Linked DNA regions of Mus musculus. The main gene of each other region encodes a partner of the protein of the gene in region 2 in a complex. Links are inferred from orthologs where the notes say so. Each region holds a gene or a part of one and is shown on either strand. Other genes may lie near its edges.

Region 1 (7,537 bases), on a different chromosome or scaffold from region 2:
AGAGGAGAGGGACTGACTGACTAAAACATGAAGGAAGCCAGGAGCCAAGGGATGCAGGGGGACCTTGAGCTGATTTTCTTCTTCCTGACACCATGATTTTTATCCTAGTGATGCTTCTGATCTACAAACTGTAAAATGATAAGTGTTTTATTTGAGCCATTAACATCCTCACCTGAGTTAACTTGGAGGGTCTCTGAAGGTATGAGGCTAGCCTAGTCTACACATAAAGTTTCTAGGGCAGTTAAAACTACATAGCAAAAATAGAGAAAGAAAATTTTATCTCTGAAAAATAAATTTTAAAATGTAATTGCTAGGGCTGGAGAGATGGCTCAGCAGTTAGAGTACTAGCTACTCTTCCAGAGGACCCGCAATATCTGTAACTTCCGTTCCAGAGGATCTGGCACCCTCATTCAGACATACATGCAGGAAAAAACATCAATGCACAAATAAACATAAATTTAAAATATGTAATTGCTGTTAGGGAAACTAACATAACCTCACTAGTCTCTCTAATCCATTTTTCTCTTTTCTTTTAGCCTCAAACCATCTAAGTTAGAATTTTAAAATCTAACTTACTTACTTTCTTTTTTCCTTTGGTTTTTTCGAGACAGGGTTTCTCTGTGTAGCCCTGGCTGTCCTGGAACTCACTCTGTAGACAAGGCTGGCCTCCAACTCAGAAATCCACCTGCCTCTGCCTCCCAAGTGCTGGGATTAAAGGCGTGTGCCACCACACCCAGCAAAATCTAACTTTCATTCTCAGAATCATTCAGTAGTTTCCTAGCTCCTTAGCTGTGATTCCAGAATACTGCTTGCTGTTTTTGTCTGTTGGACCCCCAAGACCAAGTTCTAACACAAAGGAGATTTACTTACCCCAGAGGAACAGAGGGTAGGGAATAGAGACAAAGTCAGGAGGTAAAGGATGGGAGGGGAAAGGAAGGGAGAGGAAGGATGGGTCTCTGTCCTGAAGAGGCAAAGGACTGCCTCTGGATAGAGAGGAATTGGACATCATAGGTAAATGGTGGTTTATAAAGGGATAAGGGATAATCTGGTATTAGGATGAGGTGTTTAATTTTAATTGGGCATGTTAATGAGGTGAGCCAAAGTGGCCTTTTGACTTCAATACTTTGATACCTGGACCTTGATAGTCTTGATAGCCTCAGAAGAAGGAAGTGGCCAAATACGGTACTAGATCTTGGTGGCTAGCTTTAGAAATGTAATCTAATGGTTTTTAGAAAGGCAGAGGGAATGGGAGAGAAAGGCAAGGTCTTCTTCCATTGCCACGCTCAATACACTCAAGCTGGCCAGAGTCCCTTCAGTCCTGGTATTCTGTATTGTCTTTTAACCCTTCCTCTCAGCGATCTGTACCCCAACTTAAAACCTTGAGGTTTGGTTTCTGATTCCTAACTACTAAGCACATTGTGGAGGTTTGAATAAGTATGGCCCCACTGACTCATGTGTTTCAATCTTTTACCCAAAGAGTAAAGGTACTATTAGGAGGTAAGGCCTTACACTAGCAAGATTTTACTGAAAGGACCCAGATGTAGCTGTCTCTTGTGAGACTATGCCGGGGCCTAGCAAACACAGAAGTGGATGCTCACAGTCAGCTAATGGATGGATCACAGGGCTCCCAATGGAGGAGCTAGAGAAAGTACCCAAGGAGCTAAAGGGATCTTCAACCCTATAGGTGGAACAACATTATGAACTAACCAGTACCCCTGAGCTCTTGACTCTAGCTGCATATGTATCAAAAGATGGCCTAGTCGGCCATCACTGGAAAGAGAGGCCCATTGGACACGCAGACTTTGTGTGCCCCGGTACAGGGGAACGCCAGGGCCAAAGGGGGGGAGTGGGTGGGTAGGGGAGTGGGGGTGGGTGGGTAAGGGGGACTTTTGGTATAGCATTGGAAATGTAAATGAGCTAAATACCTAATAAAAAATGGAAAAAAAAAAAAAAAAAAAAAAAAGGAGGTAAGGCCTTGTTAGAGGAAGAGTGTCACTGTGGGGTGGGGGTGGGCTTTGAGATCTACCATGCTCAAACTATGCCCAGTGAGGCACACCTCTCTTTGCTGCCTGTAGATCAAGATGTAGAGCTCTCAGCTCCTTCTCCAGCACCATGTTTGCCTGCATGCTGCCATGTTTCCTGCTATGATAATAATGGACTAAACCTCTGAAACTGTAAGCCAGCCCCAAAGTAAATGTTTTCCTTTATAAAAGTTGTCCTGGTCATGGTGTCTCTGCACATCAATGAAACACATTACTACTGAACTACACTCACAGACTTGTAATTTATTCTTCAGCATTATTAAAAAAAAAAAAATCATCCAGGAGGCTCAGCAATTAGAACACTGGCGGCTCTTGCAGAGCCCCCAGGGTTCAGTTCCTAGCACCTACATGGAAGTTTTCAACCACTTCCACCTACCTCAGTGGGCCCCAGGTACAAAGGTGGTCGTGCACAAACATACATCCAAGTAAACACACATAAATAAACACACATAGCCTAAAAATAAACGTTAAAAAATTTTTGAAGACTGTCCTAAAAGAATTCATATCCTTCACTCCATGCTAACTTGCAAGCTCCACCAGATGTGCTTAAAAGAGAAAAAAGTCAGTTACTGCCCCTCCCCCCCCCCCCCCGCACCCCAACCCCACCTCGTCCAGGCTCCACTTGCCAGGACGCTGAGACACTGTACCGCTCAATACCCCTCCACTCCTTCAATGTGTGTCCTTTACACTTGGCATCAAAAGCAATACATAGCATAGTGTTAACGCTTGCTCCCAAGGCTAGAACTTGTATGTTGTCTGAGCTGCATCACCAGCAGCTGAGACTGAGCTCCACGCATATTAAGCAATACATCTGTTGAATTTTTAAATAGGACAGGTGAGGACTCTTAAAATGCTAAAGCTGCCATTTATTCTAAAAGATAAGAAGAGCCACAGATTGATGGAAAAGGTAAACATGATTCCCAAAACCTTTGCCACAAACAAGCGTAGTTTATTAAAACCACACAACTGTATGAAAATAGAAAATTCTGGAACTACAAAAACTCCAATACACCATTACTTCTCAATAAAGAACGCAGTGCAGAATGCCAGCATTTCTTCCTGAAACGGGTCATGGCAAATGAACAATTTGCTATCCTAAAAACGCCTATAAAATCAAGTCCCCGGGCACCTCGGAAAATTCAGAGGGGGACGGGCACCACAGTCCACCCACTAGCCTGGTTCGCGCAAGTCCAAAGTCCCTGGCCGGCCTTAAGGACACGCAAGGTCCACGCGTACCACTTCGCCTACGACCAAGTCACGGCCGTCCTGCGGTCACTGTGCTCCGAGATCACGGAGCGAGGCGCCGGTGGAAACACCAACCTGACACTGCAGGGCAGTGAGACAGCAGCACGCAGGTCACCGCGGTCCGAAGGCGTCCCTCTGGAGCCGGTCCCCGACCTGCTTCCTCCGGCCCCTTGACGTGACGTAAGCAAACTCGCCGCCTCTCACTTTCCGCAGCCTTGGCAGCTCAGGAGCACTGCTGAGAGCTTGGGAGAGCATCCGGAAGCGGCGGGCTGTCCCAGCCTGACTCCGCCCACCAGGTTGGATGTCGGGACTACAAGCCCCAAGAGGCACAGTGCGGCTACAATGCCCCACCGGAAGGAGGGTCGCCGGGGTGGGAGGAGGAGCCACAAAAGGGATTGTGGGAGAAAGCCTTCTTCCTTTCCTCTGGCGGCAGCCATCAGGTAGGGCGGCGGGGTGGTGTTTGTGTGTCTATCCGTCGCGAATCGCGCTAGTCTTCAGCCATCCGACCCCGGCGACCCTACGGCCTCGGAGTTTCTGCCTCGCACGAGCGCCTAGTGAGGATACGGGGTGGAGAGGGTACGAATACGCCGCCGTCCGGGAGGCTTGAGAGACGCAATGGCGGCAGGATCCGAGCTGGGCCGGGGACTGAAGGAGGCGTGGGATGGAAGCGTGGCCTCGGCTTGCCTCTCATCAGGCCGCCCGGGTGGGACGAAGCTCTCCTGGTCTTACTCGCGGTGGCGGTTATAACCCTGCTGCCAGTTCTGGCGGCCTCCGGGAGTATGGAATAGTCAGTCCCGCCCAGCCGGCCCTGCGCCTTGCTGCCTCTGCAGAGCCCTTCTCATTCCCGGTGGACGGTGGGGCTCCAGGAAGGATGGAGAGGCCGTAGTCAATGTCCTTGACAGCGATCGCTCTTTCGATTTGCTTCTTCCTCTCAAAAGGTGAGCCAAGATGGGTGCATACAAGTACATCCAGGAGCTATGGAGGAAGAAGCAGTCCGACGTGATGCGCTTTCTTCTGAGGGTCCGCTGTTGGCAATACCGCCAGCTCTCTGCGCTGCACAGGGCTCCCCGCCCCACCCGGCCTGATAAAGCTCGAAGACTGGGATACAAGGCTAAGCAAGGTGCGTGAGGTCACGATGTGGGTGGTCTATAACACTCCCAGAAAAGTCGGCGGGCCTCAGTTTGGAAGTGCCCCCCCCCCCAAAAAACCTGCCTGATTTAGCTATGCTAAATGTGATATAGGTTACAGATATACTTTAGTCTACATAGTCTATCTTTGTAATTAAAAGGAAGCATTGGAAAGTCTTAACTTAGTCTAACGTATTGGTGGTTGGGTTGTTTTGTTTGTTTGTGTAGGCTATGTCATTTACAGGATTCGTGTCCGCCGTGGTGGTCGTAAACGCCCAGTTCCTAAGGGTGCAACTTACGGCAAGCCTGTCCACCATGGTGTTAACCAGCTGAAATTTGCCCGAAGCCTTCAGTCTGTTGCTGAGGTGAGTTGTTGGGAGTATCGATTGTCTTGACAACCCATTAGGAATGGTGGGCTAGGAAGAAACGGGGAAGCCGGTGGAGTTTCCCTCGGTATAAGGTGGGGATGGAGTTGTTTTGTACTTAGTCACTATCGGTACTCATTGTTACTGTTTTGCTTGAGGATGTGCGGAAAGGGGTTTGGGTTTCTGGACTAGTTTCTACAGACCCTATGCTTTTGGAAGACTGTAAAATTTTGGGCCATTCTGTTTTATTTACATTGCTAATATTCTGTGATCAGTTACTCTTAGGTTGATAAATGGTTGTAGGAGCCCCCTTTCCACAAGCTAGAACTTTTTTTTTCATTTGTTGAATTAATGTATAGGGTTATGGGCTTGATCCCTATTGCTGAAGGGGACTAGGACAGCACTCAATTTCATGTCTGGTTTTTAGGGAGAAAAAAAGTTATGTGCTTTTGTCTACATGTCTGTCATTTAAGCTAGTCTAATTCTTAAGGTGTGTGGGGACCTGGCCTGCTTCAGTCTCATGACCCAGAGTTAGAAGGATTTTTGTCTAGTTTACAGGAAACTGACTGGTCTTTCTCTGCATATTTTAGGAGAGAGCTGGGCGCCATTGTGGGGCTTTGAGAGTCCTGAATTCCTACTGGGTTGGTGAAGATTCCACATATAAATTTTTTGAGGTTATCCTCATTGATCCGTTCCATAAAGCTATCAGAAGAAATCCTGACACCCAGTGGATCACCAAACCAGTCCACAAACACAGAGAAATGCGTGGGCTGACATCTGCTGGCCGAAAGAGCCGTGGCCTTGGAAAGGGCCACAAGTTCCACCACACTATTGGTGGTTCCCGCCGTGCAGCCTGGAGAAGGCGCAATACTCTCCAGCTCCACCGTTACCGCTAATACACGTGATATTTGTAAAATTCATATCCAATAAACAATTTAGGACAGTCATTTCTGCTTAAAGGTGTTATTTGTTAAAACTAGTCTACAGATTGTCATGAGTGTTCTGTGAAAATGTAGAAGTTAAGTGCAATAATTGAAAACTGCAGGTGATGGCATATCTTGTTTCTGATGTACTTTGCATTATCTGCTTATGAGATTAAGTGTATATAGTGTTTGTGCCAAGTGGTGTTCTGTGTGTAAGACCCTGTAAGAGGTAAAAAGTCCTGAAACTGACCCTGGATGTGTTGGTGCATGAGATAGAATCTACAGCTTTACGATGGCATCTTTTGGTTCACTGAAGTGGCTGCTTGGGAGTTTGATGAGTACAAACTTTATAGAGTTGGATTTTGCTTAGAAATGTGTAGGAAGAGAGGGTTTCAAAACCTGTTTTGTGCATAGAAAAGTGAGATCAACTATAACCCACATTTTGAGAATTGAATCCAGTGTTATTTTCAGAAGACCAGGTAAATTTGTTGGAAGAGGTTTCACTTTCTGTTGGATCTAGAGTATGGATTTGGAGATGAAGGTTGAACATTGGATGTAGTAGGGCTTATTTAGGGCAGATTATTTCCATTAGATTTGTAAACTTGGTTGTGGTTGCAAGTTAATATCAACCAAGCAAATATAAGTTTGATTAAGCTTGCAGACATTAAGCTTTTCTAGCAGCTGGTGTGTGCAGAGGCAGATGGCTCTCTGGTTCCAGGACTACCTACAATATAGAGAAATTTTCTCTATTCCAGTCAATTCATCATGGGTAAGAATAGTCCATTTTGGTAGTGTTATTTCATCGTTTACAATCTACCTATGGGTAGTGGCTGGTAACTGCCTGGATGTTGACATTTCACAAAGGCCATACTTAACCACACTTTTATTTCTATTTGTGCGATGCCTTGGAGTAGTTTCCCAAAGTGATTTTGAGTGTGGAAGAAATGGTATTGTCCCCGAACAGCTGGCTTGGTCTCAAAATCTAATTGATGCTTTTATTAAATTGGTTTTCCTTTGGAGATTTTAAAAGGATGATTTGATTTCCAGAAAATACTAGACTCAAAATCTTGATAGCTAAAATTCTTTTCTATTCAGCAAAACAAGTCACTGTATAGAGGTTGTTCAAATCAACTAAAGTAATAAATGTCTTAAACAAGTGGACCTATGTTATCTTTTATGTTAAAGCAAATGAGGAACTTGGAAAGGATAGCTAATTGTAGAAATGACAGGCATAATTCGAGAGAACATGTAATAGTATCCTAAGAATTAGGAAACTGCTTGGGCCTGGTACTGTGGCTCAGTTCAGTCCTTAGCACTGGTAAGATTTCCTGCTAACGCCAGTCAGTGGTCACAGAAACTTGCCTTTGTCTTTGCCACCTTAAAGATCAGTCTACAGGGCAGCTAGAGGAGTCCTGTTAAATTGATCCTGGCCTTTTTGTGCTGGAAGCTAAAAGCTACAGCAAATAAGCATTTTCACGAAGCTAAGCCTGTCATTTTAACTCCTGCCTTCCCTTGTATAGGTTCAGGGAGCATAACAAGTATCCATCAACATTGTCAGGAAAAAGGATTTCCTGGTTGGAAAAGAACTTGCTGTGTCGATCAAACCATCCTGGAACTTGATCGACCTACCTCTGCCTCTACACTCTTGGTTTCTTTGAGACAGTATTGGGTTAAGATTTTATGTGAGTATACTTATCTTGAGACACACCAGAAGAGGTCATCTGATCCCATTACAGCTGGTTTTGAGCCACCATGTGGTTACTAGGAATTGAACTCAGGACCTCTGGAAGAGTAGTTGGTGCTCTTTAACTGTTGAGCCATCTCTCCAGTCTAGA
Region 2 (7,437 bases):
GTTTTAACTGTGAGACTGATTTTTTCTCTTTTCTGACTCTAATTCTATTTGAATATAAAAACATAGTTGAAACAGACTGCTAAAGAACCAACTTACACCAAGACGTCACTCTGAAAGGGACTTTAAAAGTCTATAGACATGAGAATAAGTCAAAGAGAAGCATTTCCAGGTTAGACAGATAATAGTTCAGGGGCTCAGATAAGAGTAAAAACCCGGATGAGATCTGAAAGTGGGCTAGGGATCCTACTCTGTTGGTTGCAGGTAAACCTGATAAGGATATTAATAAACCTTGGTGCTATTTTAAAAGATTGGAAACAATATACTTAGTAATCATTGTGATAGTTTATGTTTTGTTATTGGAACACTAAAAATATTTAAGAAAATTCATCATATTAATAAACCATGGAGGCACTTAGAAGAACTTAACTGAATTTGTATTTCATGATTTAGTAATCAAGAGCAACTGATTTATAAAATTTTAGCTTAAATATATACAAAGACTTTGACAACAGAATGAGTCCTAGGGCTTTATAAAATGAGGTATAACGGACAGGTAGATACACTAAAACATAACTAGAAATTGAAATAGTACTTCAGGCTGAGAGTAGTTGAGGAAACTTCAACTGGCAAAAGTTATAAAAGTCAATTTAAAAAAGTGAAAATGAAACTTTAAAAATTTTATGGATAAAGGACTACATATTTAAATTAAGGTTTATAATTTGATCTTAGAGCTTTAGGAAGTAATAGCTTTTAAACTCACACTGTGAAAAAAAATCAAATATTAATTAGCACATAAATCGCTGTAAATATATGACTTCATGCTAAATACTTCTAGGTTTAGACATTATCCAATGGCTTACTTATAACATGTTGTTTCATGCTGTATAAAAATCCTCGAAAGAAACAAATCTCTGAAACTTTAGAAATTCTGAGTAAGAAGTGAGGAGAGCAAGATCACCTTGAATTTTTGAGTTCTTATCATTTTTTTCAATGTATATGAAATCTATATCCAATAATGGAAAAGAAAATGTCACACAAAACTTTTTGTTTTTTAAAGAAACAAGAGGCCAGTTACATCTATTCTAAACTTAAACTTTCCCCCACAACCTAAGAGAAATATGTAAGATTTCTATACAACTAAGAAAGGTCTCCAGCTGGGAAATTTTACTATCTAGAAACCCACAGGAAAGCAGCCAGGAGTTCACAGTTCATAGAGGGAAACACGCTTTCGTCATGACAGTAGGGTAGGCACAAAACTAATGATAAAGGTACAAACTGACAAAGGGAAAATACCAAGTGGGGAAAGTAACTCCCCTCTGCTTTTGCTTACAGACACTGTGCTTTTGGTTTGTGTTTTGTGAATGTTTTAATTCTACAGTGGGGAAATGACCAGGAGCCCTATGAACCACACTGTAAACCATGCCATGACGACACTTCTAATACAATCCCAAATGGGCCTGGTACTGAGCCATGTGGGAAACATTGACGTCCTCCTGCACATTTCAGTGAAGTTGGCTTCCCATGCGCTCACTCCCTGTAAGCCAGAGTTGATCTACATTCTACCAATGGCAAAACTAGCTGAGGGTCTCACAAACTACTACACAAGAAGACAATCCAAGTACCCTCTTCTTTCTGGATTCCTGGAGGAAGGAAATACAAAGCTAGAATGTCTGGCTATCCTTTGCTTCGCCTCTTCTGAAGCTCCTCCCCTTCCTTCTGTTTTAAGTAGTCATTAACAATGAGCAATCTGAACACATGTGATCACAGATGGCTTGACTGTGTATCTTGCTTGTAACTTTATTTAAAAGTAGTAATTATGTCAAGAACAGGTAATGGTCTAATAAGTAAGTCATTAAAATAGGGGTGAACCTACTTTGTGGCACACTGTACATCCTGCACTCTCACCTGATCACGGCCTGCTAAATCTCTATCCACAAAAGGTACACGAGAGAGGTCTGTCTCAGGGTTGGGTTGCTATCAAGTTTCTGCATGAGGGGCTCCTCGCCTGGATACTCTATGAGCTCCTTCAAATCTGTCCACCCTGGTGAGTCCAGTTTAAGTCCTTCCCTATGGGAAGTCCTGAAGATGCTACCAGCCCAGCAATGTCCTACCTCCTCCACTACCTGGAAAGCTGCTTGGGGATAGAAAATGTGCCTTTTGCATTTCATGGGTATGCAACACAAAACCATGTGCATTATTTAAGATGGGAAAAAAAAGAGAGGAGTAAAAATAACAGGAAAAAAGAGGAAGAAACAAGGAAGGGAGTTTGCTATCAGAGATCCTATAAACTGGGATTTCAATGTCAACACTGGATCCAAAACAAACCTAAAACACAAGCACAGACAAGCCTGCACTCTTACCTTTTCCTGCACATAACATTGTATATCTGTAGTTATACCCACCCTCTTCCACGGTCAGCAGGTTCCCCAGGTCTGCTGATGAATGATACTGGATTGGCTCGGAGTTCCTCACGTTTGCCAGAGGTAGGAAGGGGTCATAATCCGTGGATGACAGGTCAGCCAAGGTCAGAGTATAGTGACTTTGCTGTGTGTATGTGCTGGAGCCACAGACACAGCAGTGCAGAACCTGAGGAGGACAGACATGCATGGCTCCGTGTGCCAGCATTTCCTGAACTCTGCCTAGCTCCCACACTGCTTAGGAGAGAGGGCTCCTTCCTAGGAACATGTCCAAATGTGGCCTTCTTTCCATTCTTAAATATCTTTTTGCTACTAGCAAGTCAGTGACAACATCTACATGCTCAGGGCAAAGGAAAACACAGGTGAAAGGTGCCTGTTTCTGTTCCTGTGTGACTGCACACGCCTCAGGCTTTCTTCCTCCAAAGGCAGCAAGGTGGAAGGAGCCAGCCCAGGAAACGAGAGGAAGGCTATGGGAAAGCCATCATGGTAGAGGGCCGGGTGACCACAACCTGCGTTTAAATCAGTACAACACATGAACCCATGAATTATATGGAATAAATAAAAGTAAATTGAATGCAGTTTTTAAAGTCTCTTCTCACAAAGTGAGACTTTTTTTTTTGTCTTTTTGAGACAGGGTTTCTCTGTGCAGCCCTGGCTGTCTTGGAACTCACTTTGTAGACCAGGCTGGCCTCAAACTCAGAAATGCACCTGCCTCTGCCTCCCGAGATTAAAGGCATGTGCCACCACGCCTGGCTAAAGTGAGACTTCTTAACTCATATCCTAAGGATTTTTTTTTCCTTTGTGTTCTTTTACTTTTGTTTTGGTTCTGGTTTTGAGGCAGGCCTCCATGTTCCCAAGCACTGAGATTACAAACATTCACCACTACACCTGCCTCTTGAGGTTTATTTACTAAAAGCATTATGGGTTTCTTCATAGTCTGATAAACAGATCTTTGTGAATCTTATGCTGCAGGCCCTATATTATAATATAGGCTATAACATAAACAGTCCATTTAGAAACGAAGTAGATACAGGTCACTTGTGATGAAGATTGGGGCATTCTGATTCATGGCAGTTGCTTAAATCTGACAGTCATGTGCAGTGTGTGCATCTTCACCTTGGCAACCACTGATTCTCTACAGCTGTATCAGTTCTGCTTACTCATTAATTATTCATGTCTTCCCAAATGCATAACTTTCCACAGGTCATTTTCAGAAGGCACAAATATATAAATGTAGGAAATGTACAACATTATGTTATTTTAATCTGTAGATCTACAGTCTGTGCCCAAGGCTTAGGGGAGACTCACCCTGTAGATATAATCCAGCAAGGGGGCCCGGGATGGGTGCAGCTCCTCTAGAACTGCTGTGGACACAGGGTGGAGGAGGGCACTCACGGGCAGCGCCATGCACCAGTCCAAGAGACAAAGGAGCAAGGACACAATAAACTAGAAGACGAAACATATCCAGAACTTACATTATGGCCTTTAGGACCCACTGCATGTGAAAATAAACAGAATTGTCCCTGTGTATACTCAGTCTTTAATGGACACACAAGTACAGGGTAAGTTAGTGAGCAAAAGGGTTTCCATAGGAAAGAATGTTAAAGCCAACATAGAAGGGTGTTATAAATGACACCATCATTAGCAATAGTCATTCCCATTCTGTCTTATATGTAAAAATAACTCTGGGGAAAGCTACCTAACCTGCCACTTACCTTTTTATCTGTTTCCACTGACGAGTACTCTGCACTTGGTAAAAGGAACGCAATTGTGGCCACAAGAATCTGCACAAAAGATAAGACCTAGTCAAGCAATTTATTATAGTTTTCATATGTAGTTATTATATAGTTTATATAATGTACATAGCTATAGTTATAGTTTGGAAGCCATAAGTTAAGAATCCCTAGATGGCCTTGCAATGTAACACAGCTTGCTGCTTACTCAGCCAGTTGTAAGAGATTTGAAAATTATGGCCATGTAATGGTCTTCCTTAATGGGGGACTGAGACCTCAAGGCAAGGGTAGTTCTCTCTATAGTCACAGTTTCTAGTGAAACTATTAGTCCCACATTTCTAGTGAAATAAAAATGGTTTTAAAAATAATTATGAAAAGGTTCCCATTTGCTATCTTATAAATCAGCACAGAGCTCCACTCTCACAGGTGTCCTGTCTGAATAATTACAGGTGCCCCTAACCCTAACTTTACACTCCGCAGCAGAGTAAAAGGTCTATTCCACTCCAGATCACTTCAGGTCAAAAACCACTTGTGACTCTTGATGTGATTCTGAGAGGACAACCAGTGATGCCAACTAGTGAAGTCTGTCTACGGGTAGGAGGGAATGAATCTGTATCACTTCTTCTCTCTCCCTGAGATCCTTCATGGGGACAAATCACATTTCCTCAGAGTCTCCAAGGGATGGGCAAAGAATAGAGCTTGCCTAAGGAAGTGCTTATAAAACAGGCAGGTGCGGGGGTGCCGAGTCACAGGCATCTGTGAGTTAGTCCCTACTCCGAGGGAGCTGACTTAAGAAGCTGTGGTAGAGATGAGACTTCCTGTTCTTCCTGCCCCCTCTCCTGCCCACTACCCCTTAGAGATTAATACTGCACTGATCTCATTACTGCCAAGTAACCATGCCACAGCAGCAAGCGTGGCCCAGGGCTTTAGTCTGGGAACAACTCCTGCTTTACACAACAGCCAGGCCCCCGCCCTGCAAGGAAGCATTAAACCAGCTGCCTACTACTTGTTGGCACCATCCAAATTACTCTCAATGAATAAAGCCCAACCTACAAAAGGTCTCTTTGTTGTGGTTGTGTCTGCCTTTCAAATTCTCCAAGCACCAGCCTCTGGCTGGAACACTGCAGGCTTCTTTGCACAGTGCCTAGAATTGAAGAGGAGAGGAGCCAGCCAACACAGCCTGAAAACTGGGCTCACATGGCAGTTTAATAGTTGCTTCTCTAACAATTACCCAAGGATCTACAGTTAATTAGATATCAAATACATTAGTAAGAAGAAGTGCAGATGCTTTAGCAGTATAGATAAAGGACTTACTTCTGCCATTTTGCGGGGTAGAGCAGTTTCAAACATCTGCAGCTTTTCCCAGTAGGAAACCAACAACTGAAGAACATCACAGGCTACCTGAGCCACGATCTTGTTAGGAAACTACAAAAGAAACCCGAAACCCCAAGTTAACAGAGCAGCTCAGCAGGAGTATATTCTGGAGGAAGAACAGAGCAGATTGCTCTTGCTAGCCCTATATACATATCTCATATGCAACTGAAGAAAACTATGTCCAATTAACATCCTTTGAACATGACAACTCCATTCCATTTTGTTGCCTGTTTGAACTCACTAACATTTTTATATATTCCATAGAAGAAGGTGGTCAATGTTTGCCTAGAAATTAAAGCCCAAATTTCAAATTCTGTATTCAGCTCATATAAATCACACTATTGATAAACTGAGGAAATTAAAAGAGTATATGCTTGAGTGTCCTTTGTGTGCCGAATCTTCTGCACAAATATAACTCATTCATTGATAAATTGTCATTGACAGTTCTGGAAGAAGGTGCTATCTTCATTTCACAAACAGTAAAATGGGGATTAACCAAATGACTTCCTACCCGGGGAAATAAAATGACTGATATGTAACATACTAAGAAGTGTATAAAACCAGACTTTAGGGGGAGGGCATGTTCAATGACCCTGACTGTGTTTCCTAAAGCTGCCTGTGGTGGCTTGAAAAGAAGAATAATATATGCTTCAGTCAGTAAAACTGCTTCCAGAGCTATCTTTGACATCACACACAGAGATAAAGGATCTGCAGGTTTTTTTCTGGTGGGTTTTGGTTCCATTATTTCCTCACTATGCCCTGATTCCTCCCTTTTGAAATAGTAAATGTATATTCTATGTAGTTGTCGGTTAGAAGTATTACATTTGCTTTTATAATTTACAAGGGGTTAAGGTTAAGTAAGAGATTTCCTTGAGTCTCAGAAGAGAATTTGAACTTTGGATTTTTAAACTGTATTGATACTGTGAAAGATTATAGGGACTTTTAAAGTTTAAATGAATGCAGTTTGCATTATGATATGGCCACAGCCTATGGGGGCCAAGGAGTGGAATGGAATGTGTTAGTTTGATTGAGAATGGCATCCATAAGATTGTAGTTGACACCATTGCATACACTAGCAAGATTGTGCTGATAGGACCCTGATATAGCTGTCTCTAGTGAGACTACGCCGGGGCCTAGCAAACACATAAGTGGATGCTCACAGTCGGCTAGTGGATGGATCACAGGGCCCCTAATGGAGGAGCTAGAGAAATTACCCAAGGAGCTAAAGGGATCTGCAACCCTATAGGTGGAACAACATTATGAACTAACCCCAGAGCTCTTGACTCTAGCTGCATATGTATCAAAAGATGGCCTAGTCGGCCATCTCTGGAAAGAGAGGCCCATTGGACAATGCTAGGGCCAAAAAGTGGGAGTGGGTGGGTAGGGGAGTGGGGGGGGGTATGGAGGACTTTTGGGATAGCATTGGAAATGTAAATGAGGAAAATACCTTAAAAAAAAAAAGATTGTATCTGTAAGTACTTGGTCACCAGTTGTTGGAACTGTTTGAGAAGAAGTAGATGTGGCCTTGTTGGAGAAGGTATGTGAGGTTTTAAAAGCTCATGACATTCCCAGTCCCATCTTCCTCTACCTCCCAGCTGCTGTCTCAAGATGTGAGCGCTCAGCTGCTGCTCCAGAGCTATGCCTGCCTGCCTGCTGCAATACTCCCTGCCATGATGGCCATGGACTCTAACCTTCTGCAACTGTAAGCTCCAGTAAACTCCTTATTCTAATAGTTGCTTTCAGCATGGTTTCTCTTTACAGGGACAGAAAAGTAACTGAGACACGGTCTGATGTCCCCAGTCTTCTGGATGCTTTACTTTTTGGTGAGGCAGATGACAAAGAGGAAATATGTGCAAAGTCTTCAACATCATGCTGAGTATACACAAATAGGACAAGGACAATCTGTGCTTCCT

What was found. The genes of interacting proteins can lie anywhere in the genome.
Region 1: the proteins of Ralgapa2 (region 2) and Nkiras1 are in contact, whole or in part, in a crystal structure (PDB 9QU1), measured with the Homo sapiens proteins. The link is inferred for Mus musculus from reciprocal best matches to the Homo sapiens genes RALGAPA2 and NKIRAS1. Residues at the interface, in NP_065076.2 of Homo sapiens: Pro20, Lys21, Tyr51, Ser52, Gln53, Phe56, Tyr59, Glu60, Ile63, Arg99, Phe102, Arg103, Trp104, His105, Tyr106, Gln107, Ser108, Lys185, Ile186, Tyr187, Pro188, Glu189; in NP_001364280.1 of Homo sapiens: Lys6, Glu22, Leu24, Leu25, Tyr26, Glu34, Met39, Glu40, Asp41, Val42, Tyr43, Met44, Ala45, Ser46, Val47, Glu48, Lys54, Gln56, His58, Tyr60, His74, Tyr75, Ser77, Phe78, Lys108, Thr162.

What each region holds. Positions count from the first base shown.
Region 1 is NC_000080.6:18,267,149-18,274,685, reverse strand, and holds the start of Nkiras1 (NF-kappa-B inhibitor-interacting Ras-like protein 1), read right to left. Parts: upstream 3,551-7,537; 5' UTR 3,363-3,550; exon of another isoform or gene 3,279-3,362; intron 1-3,278. Other genes in the region: Rpl15 (60S ribosomal protein L15), read left to right, coding at 4,236-4,407, 4,643-4,779, 5,370-5,675. UniProt on the Homo sapiens protein: Atypical Ras-like protein that acts as a potent regulator of NF-kappa-B activity by preventing the degradation of NF-kappa-B inhibitor beta (NFKBIB) by most signals, explaining why NFKBIB is more resistant to degradation.
Region 2 is NC_000068.7:146,342,984-146,350,420, forward strand, and holds part of Ralgapa2 (ral GTPase-activating protein subunit alpha-2), read right to left. Parts: intron 5,576-7,437; coding exon 5,465-5,575; intron 4,202-5,464; coding exon 4,133-4,201; intron 3,864-4,132; coding exon 3,726-3,863; intron 2,587-3,725; coding exon 2,403-2,586; intron 1-2,402.